Cricetulus griseus: one gene and its partners. The protein of the gene in region 1 interacts with the protein of each later gene in a biochemical or structural test. Links are inferred from orthologs where the notes say so. Each region holds a gene or a part of one and is shown in the gene's direction. Other genes may lie near its edges. The genes, in order: Mapk8, Dusp10, Mapk8ip3, histone H2AX and Nr4a1.

Region 1 (4,218 bases):
GATATATTGGTTCCTTTCATAGTCTGATGTATCCTTTTAATTTGTATTATACGTTGATACTTTTACGTTTTGTATAATTACTTTCATAACAGAAATTCTCTGTTATGAAAGATCTAATTGCTGCTAGTGCTAGAACACTGCCTTTAAGAGAATGGGCAAGTGATAAAATAGTCACTGGAGAAATAAAGGAAGTATGGAAATAAAGAATTGGTGAGGCGGGTGGAGTGATGAGTCAGTTGTTAAGAGCACTGGGTGCTCTTCTTGAGGACCCAGGTTCAATTCCCAGCACCCTCATGGCAGTTCACCACTATCTGCAACTCCAGCTCCAGTAGTCCTGACACCTTCACATGACAAACATGCAGGCAAAAAACACCAGTGAACATAAAATAAAAATAAATAAATAAATAAATAAATAAATAAAAGAATTGTTGAGAGAGACGAAATGGGGAGAGGATGGATGGATGAATGCTCACATTTGCCTTATGACCACATCACTGCAAACAGAGCATCTCAACGTGTAATTGGAACATAATAATCCAGCTGACTTTATTTGATAAATATTTATATATTTTTGGAAATCATAGGATACCACACAGGAGAGACTGCCCTTTATTCACCACTGTCAAAACACCTATCATGTTCCTTTCCATGTTTTTTTGTATATACTGTGCATGTAATGTATTTTTTATATATGTGTAATCATTCTATGTGTACGTGTTTCTTGCTCCCTTCTCTTATAAGTTACTTTCTCTGGTTGGTAAAAATGCCTTTGAACAAACACATTGTCTTTAAAGGGATAAATATACTCTACTGAATGAATAATAGTAATTTAAATGCCTTTCCATCCATTGTCGGGTGGTTAGGCTGGCCAGTTAATCAGTCCATAGCTAATATTTGCAGGAGACACGAGGCTTTGGAGGTATATCAGGTAATGCAAAGAATCTGGAGCATTTATTTTTTGGGGGGGTAACTTTTTCCAGGGAGCTGGAGAACATTTTCTTATTGGTGGGTGGTAGGCCTTGGAAGAGTGGCTGTCCAAGTAGGATTCTCCGTGGCTCACGTGTGTGCACTGACATGCGTGCCTGACCTTCAAACACTAACGCCCCTCCACAAGCTGGCAGCCCAGCAGGCTTAGGCTATGACTGGTGTTTCGCCGCCACGCGCCGCCACGTGCCGTCGCAGCCCCGCCCCCTGCTGCTCCCGGCCACGCCCCTCACACGCGGCTTTCCCAGTTGCGGCCCGCGGCGACCTCCGCGAGTGCCGCCTGCTCTCCAATGTAGCCACGCCCCCGGTCACTGGGCCACGCCTTCACAATCCGGGCCCCCGGGGCCGCTCCGCCCCCAGGCCGCTCGCAGGCGCGGGGGCGGGGCCCTGCGCGATGACGTGGGCGGGCGTGCGCGTTGACGACCCGCGTCTCTGTTAGTCAGCGGAGCGGCCGAGGCCGGACGTCGCGGCCGGAACGCGGAGCCGCGAGCAGGGCTGAGTAGCGGCCGCGGCCACCGCGGGACGGCGCCGCTCACCGCTACGGGCTTCCCGGTCGCCATTGGCTGCGCTGCCGGGTGAGTGCGCGGGCTCCGCGGCCCGGGCGGCCGCCGCCTTCCCCCGGCCGTGACCCCCTCCGGGAACGCGCGCGGGGCGGGGGCGGCGCGGGAACAATAGCGCGGGCGGCGGGGCAGCGGGGGGCGTGGTCCACTCGGCGCGACCTGGCTTCTCCACTCTGGCCGGTTTCCACGTTGCGCGGGGAGAATGGAGCCGGTGGGCGGCAAGTTCGGAGGTGCTCTCGCGGAGATCGGGCCGACGCGACCGTACATAGGTCTCCCGCACCCACGGGGAGCGTGTTTTGACTGTGGGCGGTTTCTTTGTGCGGACGTGAGTGCCGCGACGCCGTGAAGGGCCGGGTGGCCGCGAGCGCGCCGGCCTGCGGGCCGCGCCTTCAGAGGGGCTCCTGGCGCTGACCTTTTGACTTTCCCCCACCGCTGTCTCTTTGTCTTGTGCCTGGATTCCCAGTCCAGACACGGTAGATCCAAGTCCATTTTAAAGTACCGTAAGGAACACCTTGCATTTTCATTCCCGAAAGTTCCCTATACCACCGGCAATTTAATAACATGTTGACTGCACGGTGTCCAGTAGTTGCTATTTCTACTTCTGAAATCAAGTGGTCTTTTCAGTAGAATTCTGGTCTGTCAGCCTATTGTGTTTTGAGATGAGCATCCGCCAAGTACCTTTTGGTCAGTTAGAACATCTGTTTATTTCATTCATTCATTCAGCAGCTGTTAGTACTGTATCCAGATGGAGAGGATGTGAAGGCCAAGAGAAAGACCCTTACGAATAGGGTACTTTGGAATAGAATAGATGTGCCTTTAAATAAGACTGTTATATAAGTGATATATGTTAAGTAAGGTATTTGCCTCGTTTTATTAGAACTTCTGAAGGTAATGTGATAGGTAATGTGAAGAAGAGCTAGATTTGCTTAAATATACCACCATTATTCTTAAATCTTACCACCACTCCCCTAATTTCTTGTCGTTGTTAATGGTTACCTCAGGCTGTTAGACCTGGGAGGTCAGGTTCTCTGAGTGAACATGTTTACTGCTGTGTATGATGAAAGCAAGCACTCAAAATGGTACTTCGATGCCTATCTTGCATCATTTCTCCAGCACCTAGCATGGAAGTCATACACGTTGAGTTGATTAAAAAAAAAAGTTTATAGAGGAAAATTGGAAGCTTTAAATCCCACCCCCACCCCCGAAGTTTGAGAAGTGTCAAGCATCACTCTCAGTTGGCTGCATCGTAAATTAGTAGAGGATACTACCTGTTAAGATAAAAGAGGGTTTGGGATCACTGTTTTTGTTTTTATGCTTTACTTCCAGGGCATTCACTATTTTAAGACCACCCCTGAATTTTTTGCATATAATTAATAAAGTAGAAAATTGTGTTGTGTGTGTGTGTGGTGGGGGGTCTGTTAAGTATGTGTGTAAAAGTTGAGCATCCATAACTTGAAAGTCGGAGATACTCCAAAATCTGAAACACTTACAGTCCTTTGCAGATAAGGGGCATTCACTTGGTACTTTGTCATCAAAGTTGGGTACTTTGTTCACTTCCAATATTTTAGATAAGGGCTTTTTCCAGCCAGATGTGTGAATGAACCCAGACCTAACAGTGGTGTTTCATTAGGAATCTAACATGATTTCATTTTTCTCCCCTAAAAAAAAAAAATTACTATCTAGGGTGCATGGTGTGTTTTTTGGGGCAGGGGGTACACATACTTCTGTGTGCATGTGGAAGCCAGAGGACAACTTTGTGGGGTTGATTTTCTTTTACCTTTAAGTGGGTTCTAGACATCAAACCCAGATTCCCAGACTTTTAGGGAATGTATCTTTTCCCACTATTATTTCACAAGTTTTTATGATTTCTTTGAGTAGAAAAGCACAACACCCACATGTGTTTTACAGATATTTTATTTCTAATAGTCTAGAGCTGGTTAATGTTTTAGAGTTGCTTACTGGAAAGGTCAGGTTTTAGCTTGTACTTATCTATCTCACAGAGCATATGGGTTTAAAATGCAAAATACTATGAATTTATCCAAGTTTTGGCACGTTTCCACTATTTAAAAAATATTTCTTTTCGATATGAAAAGTCATTCAGATGAACTTATTTACTGTAGAATAAGAATGGAAAAATAAGGAAATTATTCTATTACTCTGAGTGATAGACCTTGGGGCACCAAACTTTTATTGCTTTACCTAGCTAAGTGTATGAGGTTCCAGAAGGGACTCTGGAATTAAGAAATCATTTGAGTGGCTCACACACAGACAGACTCTGCATAAATTCAGTTAGGTTGTCTTCTAAATTCTGTTGTTTAAACAGCTTTCTTGAGATTTAATTCACATAAAGAGTGGCTCTCATAGAGTATTTTTTAGTGGTGTTTAGTCTACTTGCATAATTATGCATTGATCACTACTATACCATTCTGGAGCATCATTGTACCACAAAGAAAACCCCCTTAAAAAAAAAAAAAAAGCAGTCTGGTGTTTGAAAGGAAGAGAGTATGGGTTCTGTTAATAAATAAGTCCCTTTAATGAAAAGGGTACCCTTTAACTGTCGTGGCATATTAGGAAACTGTATATTTCATGCTCCTTTTAATCCTTAGAGAAATTACTTGGAAAGGAAATTTAGTATAAGAGTTAATTGAGCCATATGTGGTGATACATGCCTGTA
Region 2 (4,001 bases), on another chromosome or scaffold:
CCTGATATTTTTCTGGCGAGGCGCTGGCAGGCTTGTTCAGCTTCCCACTTCTCTTCCCCGGACACAGGCTGCGACTAGCGACCCCTCTGATGGCCAAAGTTCGGGGAACCGAGAAAGCTGGATTCGGCTCCTCCAAGCTCCTCCAGCGCCGCTCATTGTGGATGTTCACCACCCTAAACTCGGGCTCCTTCCCGCCCGCGCTTGCAGTTCCAGGCTGGCGCTCCTTGGCTCTCCGAGGGCTCTGCGCCACGGAGGGCCGACGGCCCAGCACCGCGGGGCGGATGGACTGCGAGTGCCAAGACACGGCGATCGGGGAGGTGGCAGCGGAAGGGGCCAGGACCGGGGTGGGCTGGGTTGAGGGCCGGTGCCGGGGCTGTGGCGCTGGTGGGCCGCTGGGCGAGCCCGGCCACGCCCAGCCTTGCGGGATGGCGCCCACGCCGCCGCTCAGCACGCGCCCCCAGTGGCCGCTGGAGTAGAGCCAAACCTCCTCCTCCGCGCAGCTCTCCGGGCTGCCACCTTCGAGTTCCGAGTCGGGCTCCTGTGAACACACCGGGGACGGCGGGGGAGTGACCGGGGCACGGAAGTAAGGGAACAGGAGCACGGCGCGCAGCCGCCGCGCGGGAGAGCAGTAGGGCAGCCGGAGAGGCAGCGACATCTGCGGGCCGGACAGAGCCGGGCTGCGGGGAGGCCGGCCCTGTGCGCGCTCACGTCCCGCGCTGCGCTGTCACGGCCATGGAGAGACCCGGCTTCGGGTCGCCTCCGGCCTCGGGAAAGTTGGCCGGACACTCCTGAGCCTCCACCCCGAGTCACGAAGTGGAATGGAGACCCCGCGAGGCCGGGGTCCGCCACGCCGGGAGAACCAGTTTCAGCCAGAGCGGCCAGTGCGAGCCATTGACACTTCAGCCCCGGGAAGGGTTAACCGCGTCTGGCGGCCGCCTAGGTTTACATGTAAATAGAGAGCTGCTGCTCCGCGCGGGCCCGGGCTGGCTCTTTTAAGTTTTTGATTGGTTGCCAATGACATCACCGCCCGCGTTCTAACACACCAAACCCAGCTTCGCGTCTGAGCGGGCCTCCTTCCCGCGGCGAGGCCACGCCTCTCTCTCCGCCCCCTCGGCCGTCTATTGGCCACAGGCCACTGTGAGGTAGCGGGCCGCGGGCTCTGGATCCTCATTGGTGCAGCGCGACGTCGCTCGGCGGTAGCCCCGCCCCCTCCGGAGCTTACATTTACGCTGTAGCAAAAGAGAAAGTAACTCTGTGTTGCTGCTGGGGATCAATGAAGCTGAGTGAATGGGGGCGCAGTGCGCGAGCGCATAGCTGGAGCCGGCGCCAGATGGTGGAGGGCTACGCTTATTGATGAAGTAAGTGGAAGTCATCGCGGCCACTCAGAGCCCGAGGCTGGAGGGTCCCGTGGGGTTGTGTGTGTGCGTGCGTGTGCGTGTGCGTGTGCGTGTGTGTGTGTGTGTGTGTGTGTGTGTGTGTGCGCGTGTGTGTGTGTGTAAGAGACAGAGAAATCCACATCAGTTAAGGAAGGTCCTAAGGTTTAGGCTTTTGGGTCTGGTTGCCCTGGGATGAAGGGGGAAAATGAGTTTTGGTTCGGTTAAGATGCTTTGTGGCAGTTTTCAAAGCCCAAGGCTTAGCTGATGCCCAGCGGTGGCGAGGAAGGGGGATGCTAAGTGCCCCAGAAGTGAGGAAGGAGCATTCCCTAACCACTTGAGGTTTTTTGCTCCAGTCCCTGTTTAGTGGGAGAAGGGAGACTAGCGAGGGACAGGGTAAGGGAGAAGCGCTATTTTTGAGGGAGGTTTCCCAGGGCCAGACTGGATGGCTTTGGAGCTATCTGCTGCAAGGATGCAGATTTCGGTGCACTCCGTGCCTGGGTGCGAGCCGTGCACTCAGTGTGGAGGTGCTGGTACCAGCCTGTCTCTGGGAACACGTTCTTGGGTCCTGCTCCTAGGGAATGGGCTACTGATCCCGGACGTCCTCTGCCAGGTAACACAATAGCAAAGACTTTGACTGCATCCATGGTCTAGCAGGGACACAGTTAAGCTTCTGGAATAGTACTCGCTCTGCAAATAAATAAAGTACTACGCAAGGGAGGCAGGCAGGGAGGTGAGGGAGGGAGGGAGGAAGGCAGGAGGAGGTTGGAGCCTTTGCTCCCATCCAAAGGTGGATGAGAGAAACCTGAGTCAGTGGGGATATGCCGACACGGGTGGGTACGTGCTCCTGTGTGTGCTTGTGTGGATTCTGCCGGTGACACTTTGGCTCGGTGTCAGAGAACGGTGACGGTCTTGAGTAGACCCATGATCCATAATGTTTTTCCAGGCAAATCTTAAAAGTTCGTTTAGGTGAGTGGCTCTTGCTTGGGGTTTGATTTCTTTGCTGTGTACATGTCTAGTAGAGGAGTCAGAATGGCTGTGTTTAGAGTGGCCTTGTGCCTAGGAGGAGGAGGGAAGTGACCCATTGCAGGCACCCTTGGGGGAAGGCAGAGGTAACCCCTGTGGGCACCACTTCCCAGCTTCCTAATTAGCCTGCCTGTGGTGAAGGAGCAAGTGAAGTTGCCTTCATGGAATCCATGCTGTCTCCAAGAGGGGACATCAGTATAGGAATGAAAAAATCTTTTAGAGTTGCTACTCCAATGTCAATGCAAAGTCTGTACCACCCGGATGAAATCCAAACCCTTCTTTGCTTAGGGGCACAGCACAGGGAGGGGTCAAGGGTGAGCTGGGCCAAGGAAGAAGGGGTCATGATGGGTCAGCAGCCCGAGTTGGGGTTCCCAGACCTGACTCCTTTTGGGACTTGGTTTTAGGACAGTTAGTGCGGCTTGGTTTGGAAGAGGCTCACAGAAGACATGAGGGCTTTGAAGAGGACTGCATTGAGGTTTTCAAAGGGGCCGCCAGAAAGGGAAGCAAGCAAGATTAGCTCCTAGTCCAGGAGACTGACTTAGGAAGACACGTTCGTTCCTCATTAGCAGAAAGTTGACATCTGCCCCCATGTAAATTTAGCTGCCACGCATTTCTGTGCATCTCTGTGAGCTCTGGCAATGCTCTTGCTTATCTCTTTGCCTTGGCAGTGGGCAAAGAAATGAAACAGAATACATGCCAGGGTGGACAAATGCATCCATCACAGGTGAAATAGACTCCTGCCCAGGAGAGGAGGCTCAGAATAAATCTAAGAGCCTCCCTGTCAGGTCTTCATTGTTCCCAGTTCTCGGTGCCTTTATGTCCGTGAAGGCTGAACTTTGATTGGGTCCCTGAAAGGATGCCAATTACCATTTCTAACCTCACTTCCAATTTTAACCTTCGACTTAGCATCAGAATGCATGGGGTCCCTCAAGGATGTGTCCTCTCTGAATACATCAAAGTGAATTTCAGGCTTTGATGGCATCATGACCAAGGGCACCTGGGAGGATGCTGACTTTGCTCTGAGATATGCAGAGGTCTTTCCCAGGGATTGGATGAGACTGCCTTTTGTGCCACATGACTTTATTCTTTCTTTCCTTCTTCCCCTTCTTTACAGACTCTTGAGTTCTTCTTGAATTGCCAGTTTTCAGCCTCCTCATGCCTCCATCTCCTTTAGACGACAGGGTAGTAGTGACACTGTCTAGGCCTGTCCGACCTCAGGATCTCAACCTTTGTTTAGACTCTAGCTACCTTGGCTCTGCCACCCCAGGCAGCAGTAGCCACCCTCCTGTCATTGCCACCGCTGTTGTGACCCTCAAGGCTGCGAATCTGACGTATATGCCCTCATCCAGCGGCTCTGCCCGCTCCCTCAATTGTGGATGCAGCAGTACTAGCTGCTGTACGGTGACAACCTACGACAAGGATCACCAGGCCCAGACTCAAGCCATTGCCGCTGGCACTGCCACCACCGCCATAGGAACCTCGACCACCTGCCCTGCTAACCAGATGGTCAACAACAATGAGAACACAGGCTCTTTAAGTCCATCGGGTGGGGTGGGCAGCCCTGTGTCAGGGACTCCCAAGCAGCTAGCCAGCATCAAAATC
Region 3 (4,022 bases), on another chromosome or scaffold:
GGTTAGTAGATTTAGAAACTTTCCCAGAACTATAGATTTTGATGGATTAGGTCTATTGTTTTCATTTTTGGCAGGTGGTGCTGTCTACATGCTTAATTTTACAGCATGAAAGGCACTTCCATGATGGAGTCAGTTGTGTAACTTCTGGGGGCCCTGTTGCAAAACAATCTCTTCGGGAATGTAAGTATTTGTCTCTATAGCAGTGCTGGGATTAAAGGCTTGCACCAAGTGGTGATTGTGCACGCCTTTAATCCCATCACTGGGGAGGCAGAGATAGGTGGATCTCGGACTTTAAGACCAGTATGGTCTATAGAGTGAGTTCCAGGATAGCCAGGGCAACATAGAGAAACCCTGACTCGAAGAAACCAAAACAACTACAAAAAGCTAAACAAATTGTTTGAAAGGGCGAGGGATTTATAGCTCCAGTGACGGTATGTGCACTTAGTCCTAGCTGAATAGCAGAAGCAGGCAGATCTATAAGAGTTTGAGGCCAGGCATAACGTGTTCCAGGTTAGCCAGTGCTGCACAGTAAGAACTTGTCGAGACACACACACACACACACACACACACACACACACACACACACACACACGTGTGAAATTGTGAGCAATGTTTTTAAGTGTTCTGGATATCAGCTACAGGACTCATTAGGTTGGTGTGGTTAGGAGTAAGATCTGGTGGCTGAGACACGGCTCAGCGGTTGAAAGAACTTGCTTTTACAGAGGAGGTCCTCTGTTCAGTTCTGTCCAGCCATAATGGACTGTAACCCCAGTTCAGACGCCCTCTTCTGGGAGGGGGGAAATCATCTGTTAGCAGAAAGCAGTCAGTAAACCACGAGGTGCCACAGTTCAAAGTCAGGCTCATGGTGTCCCCAGCAAATAAACACAAATAGATCGACTAGCTTTATATTCCGGCCTCAAAGTACTGCTACACATAAGGACCCCAGAACCCAGGCGGACGGTGCAGATGAACCACTGCTATGAACTAAGAAACATCCAGAAACGGCACACGACACATGTCGAGGCCGGCTAGAGTATATTACCAAAGCCCGAAGACAGAGACACAGACTCAACCACATGTTTCCAGCCCCAAAGAGCTACACAAACACCACCGGCTTCGCGACCGGAACTTCCCATCCGCGTTTCTTCTGGCGTCAGGGGTCACGACCCAGGGCGGGGCAGGACGAGGCTCCACCCCCGCGGCTAGGCGGGACTTCCGGCAAGGGAGTGACGGGCGCGGCCTGGGCGGCGGCGCATCCTAAGGTGGCGGCTGCCTGAGGTGATAGCGGCCCGTGGACTCGGGCACAGGAACGAGCCGCGCTGGCGGCGGCGGCGGTCGCCGCGATGATGGAGATCCAGATGGACGAGGGTGGAGGTGTGGTGGTGTACCAAGACGACTATTGCTCGGGCTCGGTTATGTCGGAGCGTGTGTCGGGCCTGGCGGGCTCCATCTACCGTGAGTTCGAGCGCCTCATCCACTGCTATGACGAGGAGGTGGTCAAGGAGCTCATGCCGCTGGTGGTGAACGTGCTGGAGAACCTGGACTCGGTGCTGAGCGAGAACCAGGAGCACGAGGTGGAGTTGGAGCTCCTACGCGAGGACAACGAGCAGCTGCTCACGCAATACGAGCGCGAGAAGGCGCTGCGCAAACAGGCCGAGGAGGTGCGTGGGCCCCGGCCGCCGCGGAGGGGCACGGGGTGGGTAGCGGGGTGCAGCCAGCCCGGCCCAGGCGGCAGAATGCTGCCGATGGAAGTGCCGCTTTCTCTGTCCAGTTTGGACCCATAGCCCAGCCTGTGCAGAGCCCGGGAGACAGGGGCTCCCCCATTCCTGCTCTCCTCTGACCTTGGCTGCCGCCTGCTGTCTCTGAGTTTTTAATCCTTCAGTCCTTTGAGCAAGTTGCCTTATATGATCGCAAAGCCCAGAAATTCTACTATTCTGGGAGTAAATGCTCTTAGGTTTATGGTGGGAAGTGGCTCCTTATATGAAGTTAAATTCCATTTTAGTGAAGTTGACACAGTCTTAGAAACTACTACTGAAGTTAAGAGACATTTTGGTATGTTGGCTTCTTAAATCAATGGCCCCCTGTCCCGGTTTATATTGTTTATATTGAATTATTCCTACTTACTGTGTTTTTACTTTACTCTTGACTGTTGAGATGCTGCTGTTTCAGAATTGGGATGCGCAGGCAACACTTGCTTGGCTTGCTCAAGTTCTCAACATAGGGGATTTAAATGCTCTAAGGATGTGCGGAGGGCCCAGGGCGAACACAGACCTTTTACTGAGGTGGTTACTGGCTCCAGAAAGTGTCTGGGCTAGACCAAGGTCACACACTGACCACTGACAAAAGGACAGGCCAAATTACAGGGTAGACTTTGGCACCAGCCCCTGGGCTTTACCTTTGGGGTCATATTGCTGCATAGTGGGGCAGTTCCCCAGAAGTCTGCAGTGTTCTGTCCTTGTAGCCCAACCCTGGAGCTGAGACTTGTGCCTGAAGTCACTGTCCATGGTCTTGAATTCTAGAGACTTTTGATGCTTTGACAGAGAATTTGGGTATTTTTTCCCTTGCCCCTGTACTTACATAGTCATGATCACTGATGTGGAGGAAAAGGAGAAAATGAAGGTGGACAGCTGTAAGGCTGAGTTAAAACCTTGTAATTTAAAAATGGGCTCTGCCTGGAATAGGCACCTGCTCCATGTGGTGTCAACACTGTTCCTGGGGAAGATGTCTCTGCCCTCCAACTTAATCACAAGCTGGACTAAGCTGTGAGTGTGCATGTGGCTTGCAGAGGGAGGCACTCACTGCCAAGACCCAGCTCTTTAAGTTGAGCAAAGCAAGAAGTAAACAGATGCTGGGCTGGCTAGGGGAAGCTGTTGTTCAATGCCCACAGTATGCCCTTGAAGGAACCACCAGTGAGGTTAAAACTAAAGAGCAACTAAACACTGATGGCATTCTAGATATTTTGTGGATTGGAGTGGGTGGTTCTGTTAAAAACAATCAACAACAAAACCCCACAAACTACTGTGTACTGCTGGCCAGCTTCCTTTTCTGGACAGGGACTTACGATCAGATGGGTGTGATATGCCAGGAGTTATGCATCACTGGATGCAGACTTGTCATGGTGCAGGAGAGTGCTGTCCTAGGCACTTTGCTTGTTTAGTCTTAGAGGTGGGTAACCTGAGCTGCTGGCAGCCTTTGGAGAAGACAAAATCTTCAAGATTTTTTGTTTGTTTGTTTGTTTGTTTTTCAAGACAGAGTTTCTCTAGGTAGCCCTTGCTGTCCTATAACCATGGTGACTTCTAACTCACAAGGATCTGCCTTCCTCTGCCTCCTGAGTGCTGGGATTAAAGACATGTGGTACCACCACACTGCAGGCTTTTTAAAAATTCTTAAACATCTTAGTCCTGTACTTCTTATCCTGATACCAGGTGGTTCATTCTCTAGAGCTCAGGACCTGGGAGGAGGGACTCAGCTGTAGAGTTTGCAGATGCCTGTCTGGCCATCCTACCCTCAGGGACCACATACCTTACCCAGCCTCTCTCAGACCTTCAGTTGTAGCTGTCTTATAAAGTGAGTGGGATGTTGGCCATTGGTGTCCCAGAAAGACAATTGTGGCAAGGTAGATTTAGCAGTGAGAACAGGGTCCCTAATGTAGTTTCAGGGACGGTATTCAGCCGTGGATGGCATGGTTTGGGCCTTGTAATCTGTTGCGTTGTTACTGATTGGTAAGATACTAACAGTGTTTTTATCCCAACATCCTTTCCCATTGGAAGAAGGATTAGAAAAGGGCTAGCCTTTTTCCTTGCAATAGGCAAGCCCTTAGATAATAGGAAGAAAAATTATGTTTGAAAGACAATATTAGTGTTACTACTTCCTTAGTCTTCTAACGATAAAGAATGTGCTAGGAAGCCTTCTATAGCTCATCTCAAGCGACTCAGGTGGGTCCTTTGGATATTTACTGATGATGCGGCGTTTGCTTCTACACAACGAATCCAAATGGAAGAGTTTGATCCAAGATTTATTTT
Region 4 (3,108 bases), on another chromosome or scaffold:
ATGTGCTAGAGTTAGGGCCCTATACTCCAAGGTAACCTCACATTTGACTTTAAAATTAAGTGTTCTGATTAGGAAGATCAGAGGCAGGGCCATGTGCTCAAAATGGTGACAATAAAGGATTGTCTTTTACTTGCTTCTCTCCCTCAACCTCTTTTTCTAGCCTTTGAGATACTTGAGGACTGAACTCTTTTTTTTTTTTTTTTTTTTTTTTTTGGTTTTTCGAGACAGGGTTTCTCTGTATAGCTTTGGAGCCTATCCTGGCACTCGCTCTGGAGACCAGGCTGGCCTCGAACTCACAGAGATCCACCTGCCTCTGTCTCCCAGTGCTGGGATACAAGGCTTGTGCAACCAACATCCGGCCTGAGGACTGAACTTTGTTAAGTGCTCTACCACTGAATAAATCTATACATCTATCCCCTATTTATCTTTCGTATGGGCATTTTAGGATCGATTGGAAGGGTTGGGGTGGGTACCCTTTCCAAGAGAATACCTACCTCTGTTCCATCAGACCCCTTCCTGCAAGAAGTGACAGAACTGAAACCAGACAGAACATGTTGAATAAATATTAAAATACTAACTTGTCGTAGCACAAAGGATCACAGCACTCAGTTTTCTGGCATAGGATTGTACTCTCAGGTTTCATTTCTTCTCCTTTAAACCCTCCCTTTGCCAAATTTGAGGAGGGCGTGGGAGTGCCCCTGACCTGGAAGGAGAACTCTTTCCCTTTTTAACTTTTGTTAAAATGTTTTTCGAAACAGGGTTTCCCCTTGTAACCCTGGCTGTCCTGGAACTCGCTTTGTTACCAGGCTAAGCTTGAACTCAGAGCTCCCCCTTCCTCCGCTTCCTGAGTGCTTGAATTAAAGGTGTGCACCACTATCGCTCGGCTAACCCTTTTACTTTAAAACCCTTGGCCGGCCCAGATTTCCCAGAGACAGTCATGCGCCTCCAGACTCCACCTTCCTAGTCTTCCGGTTCTGGTGGCGCGCAATAGCGTTTAAATTTCGCGCGCTTAATAAGGATTGGCCACTTCCATGGATGATTAGCCTGCTGTTTGCGGCCACTCCGCCTTGCTTTCTTCCCCGGGTAAAAGGTTTTCAAATTGGACCAATCGCTGGGCGAGCTCTTTTCGCCTAGGCGCGTCACCGAAGGGTTAATTCCAACCAACCAGAGGCCGGTACTGGGGAAAAGAGCCAATCAGGGGGAGGCGGGGGCGTGTCCATGGAGTTTATAAGGGCGAGCTCGCCCGCGCGCGGCGACAGTTGACTGCGGCGGTTGGCAGTTTTCTTTCGTCGTCGGTGTTGCTCTCTGCTTTCTACCTCGTATACGATGTCGGGTCGCGGTAAAACCGGAGGCAAGGCCCGCGCCAAGGCGAAATCGCGCTCCTCGCGCGCCGGTCTACAATTCCCGGTAGGCCGCGTGCATCGGCTGCTGAGGAAAGGCCACTATGCCGAGCGCGTGGGAGCCGGCGCCCCGGTGTACTTGGCGGCCGTGCTCGAGTACCTCACCGCTGAGATTCTGGAGCTGGCGGGCAACGCGGCGCGGGACAACAAGAAGACGCGCATCATCCCGCGCCACCTGCAGCTGGCCATCCGCAACGACGAGGAGCTCAACAAGCTTCTGGGCGGCGTGACGATCGCTCAGGGCGGCGTCCTGCCCAACATCCAGGCCGTGCTGCTGCCCAAGAAGACGAGCGCCACCGTGGGGCCCAAGGCGCCGGCGAGCGGCAAGAAGGCCACCCAGGCCTCTCAGGAGTACTGAGGGAGCCCGCGCCCTGGCCGCCCAGCCCTCCCCACACCTCCACAAAGGCCCTTTTAAGGGCCACCACCTCCCTCACGGAAAGAGCTGAGCCACTTAGGGCTGCGGGCCGGGCCGCCGCGTTCCCATTCTCTTCCCCTTTCTCTGCCATCGCGCGTTTCTGCCTCCCCTTCCCTGCACGGCCTCCGGGTCAGGCGCCGCGGTACTTATCCATCGCGGAGCTTCGCCGGTCTCCGTCTCGATGGGCCGCGCGGAGAGGTTGCGACACCTTCCAGAAGTGTCGGCCTTTTGCTGTGACGTACGGCTGAGGTGGGCCTGAAGGTGAGTTACTCTGCAGCTGCAACCCGGGCGTCCTTTCTTCAGCTTGGTGCTTTAGCCCTCGCCTGGACCTTCCAGAAGTGACTTGATTACCAGGCTTTGGTGAAGAGAAATGGATCATATTGTTTGGTCCTGTGTTTTCCCCTTCGTTGGCCTCATACCAGTTTACCCCATCTTCGTTCATCGGCCGGTGTGTGGTGTGGCCGGGACAAAATCACTGTAATATGAGCTGGTTTTCTCCAGGATGCCTCCTGGAAAGGGTTTGGGAGAAGCTTACAGGCCTGTGGACAGAAGAGCTGTGTTCTTGCCGCAGGAGACTGGCAGCCGGGCCTAGCTATCCCCTTTTCTTCCCAGCGACTCAATTCACAACCCAAACACCTAGATACCAGCACAAGTCGGTGAATCCCTATCTGGACTGAGCCTCTACTGGCTTCTGAACTGGAATTTTGCAGCTATCCCAAGTTTAGAACCTTAGGTAGTGGGGAGTTTCAATGGGCTAATTTTATTAAATGGTTGTTCTGTTTTTTTAAAAGATGGAGTGTCTTGATTAATTTCGAATTGCTGTAGGCCCGGGGTTGGGGTTCTATAGCTCCGTGGTAGAGCCATGTACCTGGCATGTGTTGTGTTGGGAGGTGGGAGTGGAATTGTAAGTTCCCTTAGAGCAGTGGGGATGGGCAAGACTGTAATACAAGTAGGTTCTGTTAACTGAAAACAGGCAGGCTGTAGGAATTGAGGCAGTTTTCTCTTTGCTCGGTGCTTCCTGGGATGCATTCTGAGAACATGAGGCAATTAGAAAGTATTTCAACAGAGAAGTCCCAGACTCAGAATTCAGGTTTAAAAGGGCTTTGGGTTTATTTATATTTTCCCCAATTCCACCAAAACAACCACATTGAGAGCTGGTTTAATATTAGTGGCATTGGTTACATTCGAGATTGGCACTGACTTTTTCTAAAGAGATGAAGCCCTAACTACTGAGGAGGAAAGGCGCAGTCATCAAGGCCCCAAGGTGATTCGTGTCTCTGGAAGTCTCAACAC
Region 5 (3,514 bases), on another chromosome or scaffold:
GTGTACGCGCGGGGGAAAGGATGTCTTCGGGTCGGCGTGCGAGAAGGGGTGTGCAGAGTGCATCTGTGGTATTAAGGGTAGCTCTTGGAGTGGGGTGAGCGCGAACTTGAGGTTTGGGGAGTGGGTAAAGGATCTGCAAGGTGGTTGGTGCCGGTAGGTAGTGGAGGCTCGTCCAGCGGTTGTTGTGTTGTTTTGTTTTTTCCCAGGGCGCCCAAACAGGCACGCCATACTCTGTGTTTGGGTGCCGATTGTGGGGTGGCGGGTGTATGAGTATGTTGCAGGGAGAAAGTATACAGTAGAGCTTCCGCGCTGCTGGGATCTATCCAACTCCATGTAGGACTGAATTTCCACGGGTCTCCTTTCCAGGCTATCAACCTCTTTCCCAGTTGTTTACTTAACACTTTATAGGCTGTAGTTAAAATTTCAGATTCCCCTACTGAACTTTGTGTATGAACTGTGCAGGAAGACCTGGGTCTTGCTGAAGGAAATGGCTAGCTAGATTGGCGGGGTGATTGCGGTGTTGGACTAAGTTGGCACAGTCAGGGTATCTAGAAGCAAAGGATTGTTTTAGCTATACCCTGGCGCAGTCGTGGAAAGGGGCACGTGGGGACTGGGTGAAAGTTGCTCTGCTGTAGTGTGGCACTGACTTGGGAGGGGATTACCCTCCCCTCAATCCAGACAGGCTTGCAGATCACCCCAGTGGTCCCCATTGAATCTGCTAAGTAGGGTGCAGCCTGAGGTTTGTTCACCTGACAACAGGTGCAAGCCACTGTGTTGCCAGGACCTGACCCAAGCCGGATTCTCCAACTCCCTCCTTCAGCCCCGCCTCTTCCTCCTCCCCCCTCCTTGGGACTACCTCCCCCAACACCCCAGGAGACTAGATGCAGGTCTGTATCTCGTGTTGCTGACTATCTGCCTGAAGCAGGGTAGATTGGTGGGGGTTGATCCGGATGTAGGATGTCCAAGTGGAGAAACAGGATTTGAATGAGGCTGGAACAGATGCCCAGTCCTGACTGGCTGCCACCTTTCCTCCTCCACCCCCAACCCATCCCTGCCTAGACAGAAGTGGCCATGTTTATTTCTCACAGGTGCTGTATGCTTGAGGGACCTACCACTGTGCAGGCAGGGCTAGAACTTGGGGGCGGGGGCACTGTTTTTTGGGAGGCTGCATGTCAGGCCAGGGGTGGAACTGTCCTGTCCAGGCACCTAGGGGTGGGGTGGGGTTGGGAGAAATACTGGGACTAGAGGGCTTCAAGGGCCTTCTGGCAAGCAAGTGGTGACAGTCGTTGCCCCATTACTATCCCTTCCTCTGCTCCAGCTTGATTTTCTATGTGGCTTGCCTTCCCTACTAGAAAGGCTACACTGTACAGACCCTAGTCTTGGAAGGGACACTAGGTCCTGAAGCTTCCTCTGCAAGATTTCTGACCAGATACAAACTTAAGAGTCTCCCTGGAATGGTACTATCTCTGATATTTCAGATGCTCCAGTGTGTGTGTGTGTGTGTGTGTGTGTGTGTGTGTGTGTGTGTGTGTGTATGTGTGTGGCTTTGGCAAGTCCCTGGATGCTACAGGAAACAGACATCTGCTTTATCAGAGGGGTATGGGCAGGGGCAGGTTGTCCTCATGCATCTACCAGTAGGCTCCTGTACTCTTTGTATCCTGCTGGACTCTGAGTGTCCTCTTATAAAAATGATCGGGCTAGCTGAGAAAATTTGCCTGTGTGCTCAGAGGCTCCTCTCTGGGTCTTCCTGCTCACCTGAGGAGTCCCTCACCTCCCTGCAATATATAGAATTTAAGACTTTTTTCTTAACTATTTTTAACTGTGTGTGTGCACATGAATCCTACAAGGCTAGAGGCATCAGAGCTGGAGTTAGAGGTTGTTGTGAGCCACCTGATGTGGAATTGGGAACTGAACTCAGGACCTCTGGAAGAGCAGCACATGCTCTTAACCACTGAGCCATCTCTCCAGCCCCCAGTGTATGTGGTATTTAAACATCTGTAGACATGCTACCCAGTAATTCCCTTAACTCCTGGAAACATTCCAGAAAGTACAGAGTGGGTGCACAGTCCCAGATAGAAGGACTGGGTGCCTGTGGGATCAGCACACAGCGCTGAAGTGGGGCTGGGATCTGAGGCTGCTTTGCTAAGGCCACTGTGGTAGACAGTTGTACCGTGACCCACAGCTTCTCCTCCAGTTCCAGGATGTCTGTCTCCACTGACACTGTGGGGGGAAGTGAGGAAGGGGTATGCAGAGCCTGGGGTGTGCCTGGGAATGTATTCCCAGGAAGTGTCTGGTTGAAAAATCAGCAGATCTGCTCCTGGGGGCTGGGCCGAAGCTCTGTGGGTTGCCTCTCCCAGCCCCCACCCGTGAACAGGAGGCTGGGGGTTGGAGGAACACAGCTTCCCCCTGTTCCTGCAGGGAAGTTCTGGCTAGATGCCTTCCCTAGGGTTCCCAGGCCCACTGGGGTGTGGCTGGCCTTCTGACTGAGCCCTCTTGGACTGGGTCTCTGCCCATGAGCTTTGTGGCTTGTAGACTGAGATAGTGCTTGGGCTGGGGGATCAGGACTCCTGGGTTCTGTGGTCCTGTGGCCTGCCTCATTTCTAGGCCTGCCACCTGGCTGCCCTGGCTCTTATTGACTCCTCCCCTTCCCTCCCTTGGGTCTCCTCCCTCTCCAGAGATGCCCTGTATCCAAGCCCAATATGGAACACCAGCAACAAGCCCAGGACCGCGTGACCACCTGACAAGTGACCCCCTGGCCCTTGAGTTCAGCAAGCCTACCATGGACCTGGCCAGCCCCGAGGCAGCACCCACTGCACCCACTACCCTGCCCAGCTTCAGCACCTTCATGGACGGGTACACCGGAGAGTTTGACACCTTCCTATACCAGCTGCCGGGGACAACCCAGCCATGCTCCTCAGCTTCTTCGTCAGCCTCCTCCACATCTTCTTCCTCATCTTCGGCCACCTCTCCCGCTTCTGCTTCCTTCAAGTTTGAGGACTTCCAGGTGTACGGCTGTTATCCCGGCACCCTGAGTGGCCCGTTAGATGAGACCCTGTCCTCCAGCGGCTCTGATTACTATGGCAGTCCCTGCTCAGCCCCCTCGCCATCCACACCCAGCTTCCAGCCACCCCAGCTCTCTCCCTGGGATGGCTCATTTGGTCACTTCTCCCCCAGCCAGACTTATGAAGGCCTTCGGGCATGGACAGAGCAGTTGCCCAAGGCTTCTGGGCCCCCCCCACCTCCAACCTTCTTCTCCTTCAGTCCCCCAACTGGTCCTAGCCCCAGCCTGGCCCAGAGTTCCCTGAAGTTGTTCCCACCACCAGCCACCCACCAGGTTGGGAAGGGAGAGAGCTATTCCATGCCAGCAGCTTTCCCTGGCTTGGCACCCACTTCTCCGAACCTTGACACTTCTGGGATTCTGGATGCACCTGTGACCTCCACCAAGGCCCGGAGTGGGGCTTCAAGTGGCAGTGAGGGGCACTGTGCCGTATGTGGAGACAATGCTTCCTGTCAG

What was found.
Region 2: the proteins of Mapk8 (region 1) and Dusp10 form a complex in vitro, tested with the Homo sapiens proteins (2 studies listed by BioGRID, with this or other methods). The link is inferred for Cricetulus griseus from reciprocal best matches to the Homo sapiens genes MAPK8 and DUSP10.
Region 3: the proteins of Mapk8 (region 1) and Mapk8ip3 form a complex in vitro, tested with the Homo sapiens proteins (3 studies listed by BioGRID, with this or other methods). The link is inferred for Cricetulus griseus from reciprocal best matches to the Homo sapiens genes MAPK8 and MAPK8IP3.
Region 4: the proteins of Mapk8 (region 1) and histone H2AX form a complex in vitro, tested with the Homo sapiens proteins (2 studies listed by BioGRID, with this or other methods). The link is inferred for Cricetulus griseus from reciprocal best matches to the Homo sapiens genes MAPK8 and H2AX.
Region 5: of the proteins of Mapk8 (region 1) and Nr4a1, one has a biochemical effect on the other in vitro, tested with the Homo sapiens proteins (2 studies listed by BioGRID). The link is inferred for Cricetulus griseus from reciprocal best matches to the Homo sapiens genes MAPK8 and NR4A1.

What each region holds. Positions count from the first base shown.
Region 1 is NW_023276807.1:185,964,181-185,968,398, forward strand, and holds the start of Mapk8 (mitogen-activated protein kinase 8), read left to right. Parts: upstream 1-1,408; 5' UTR 1,409-1,559; intron 1,560-4,218. UniProt on the Homo sapiens protein: Serine/threonine-protein kinase involved in various processes such as cell proliferation, differentiation, migration, transformation and programmed cell death.
Region 2 is NC_048598.1:10,588,801-10,592,801, reverse strand, and holds the start of Dusp10 (dual specificity protein phosphatase 10), read left to right. Parts: upstream 1-1,200; 5' UTR 1,201-1,358; intron 1,359-3,513; 5' UTR 3,514-3,554; coding exon 3,555-4,001. Other genes in the region: uncharacterized protein LOC100773462, read right to left, coding at 1-655. UniProt on the Homo sapiens protein: Protein phosphatase involved in the inactivation of MAP kinases. Has a specificity for the MAPK11/MAPK12/MAPK13/MAPK14 subfamily. It preferably dephosphorylates p38.
Region 3 is NC_048600.1:44,531,467-44,535,488, reverse strand, and holds the start of Mapk8ip3 (C-Jun-amino-terminal kinase-interacting protein 3), read left to right. Parts: upstream 1-1,217; 5' UTR 1,218-1,343; coding exon 1,344-1,661; intron 1,662-4,022.
Region 4 is NC_048597.1:156,021,658-156,024,765, forward strand, and holds histone H2AX, read left to right. Parts: upstream 1-1,245; 5' UTR 1,246-1,326; coding exon 1,327-1,758; 3' UTR 1,759-2,601; downstream 2,602-3,108. UniProt on the Homo sapiens protein: Variant histone H2A which replaces conventional H2A in a subset of nucleosomes. Nucleosomes wrap and compact DNA into chromatin, limiting DNA accessibility to the cellular machineries which require DNA as a template.
Region 5 is NC_048595.1:397,707,167-397,710,680, forward strand, and holds part of Nr4a1 (nuclear receptor subfamily 4 group A member 1), read left to right. Parts: intron 1-2,675; 5' UTR 2,676-2,677; coding exon 2,678-3,514. UniProt on the Homo sapiens protein: Orphan nuclear receptor. Binds the NGFI-B response element (NBRE) 5'-AAAGGTCA-3'. Binds 9-cis-retinoic acid outside of its ligand-binding (NR LBD) domain.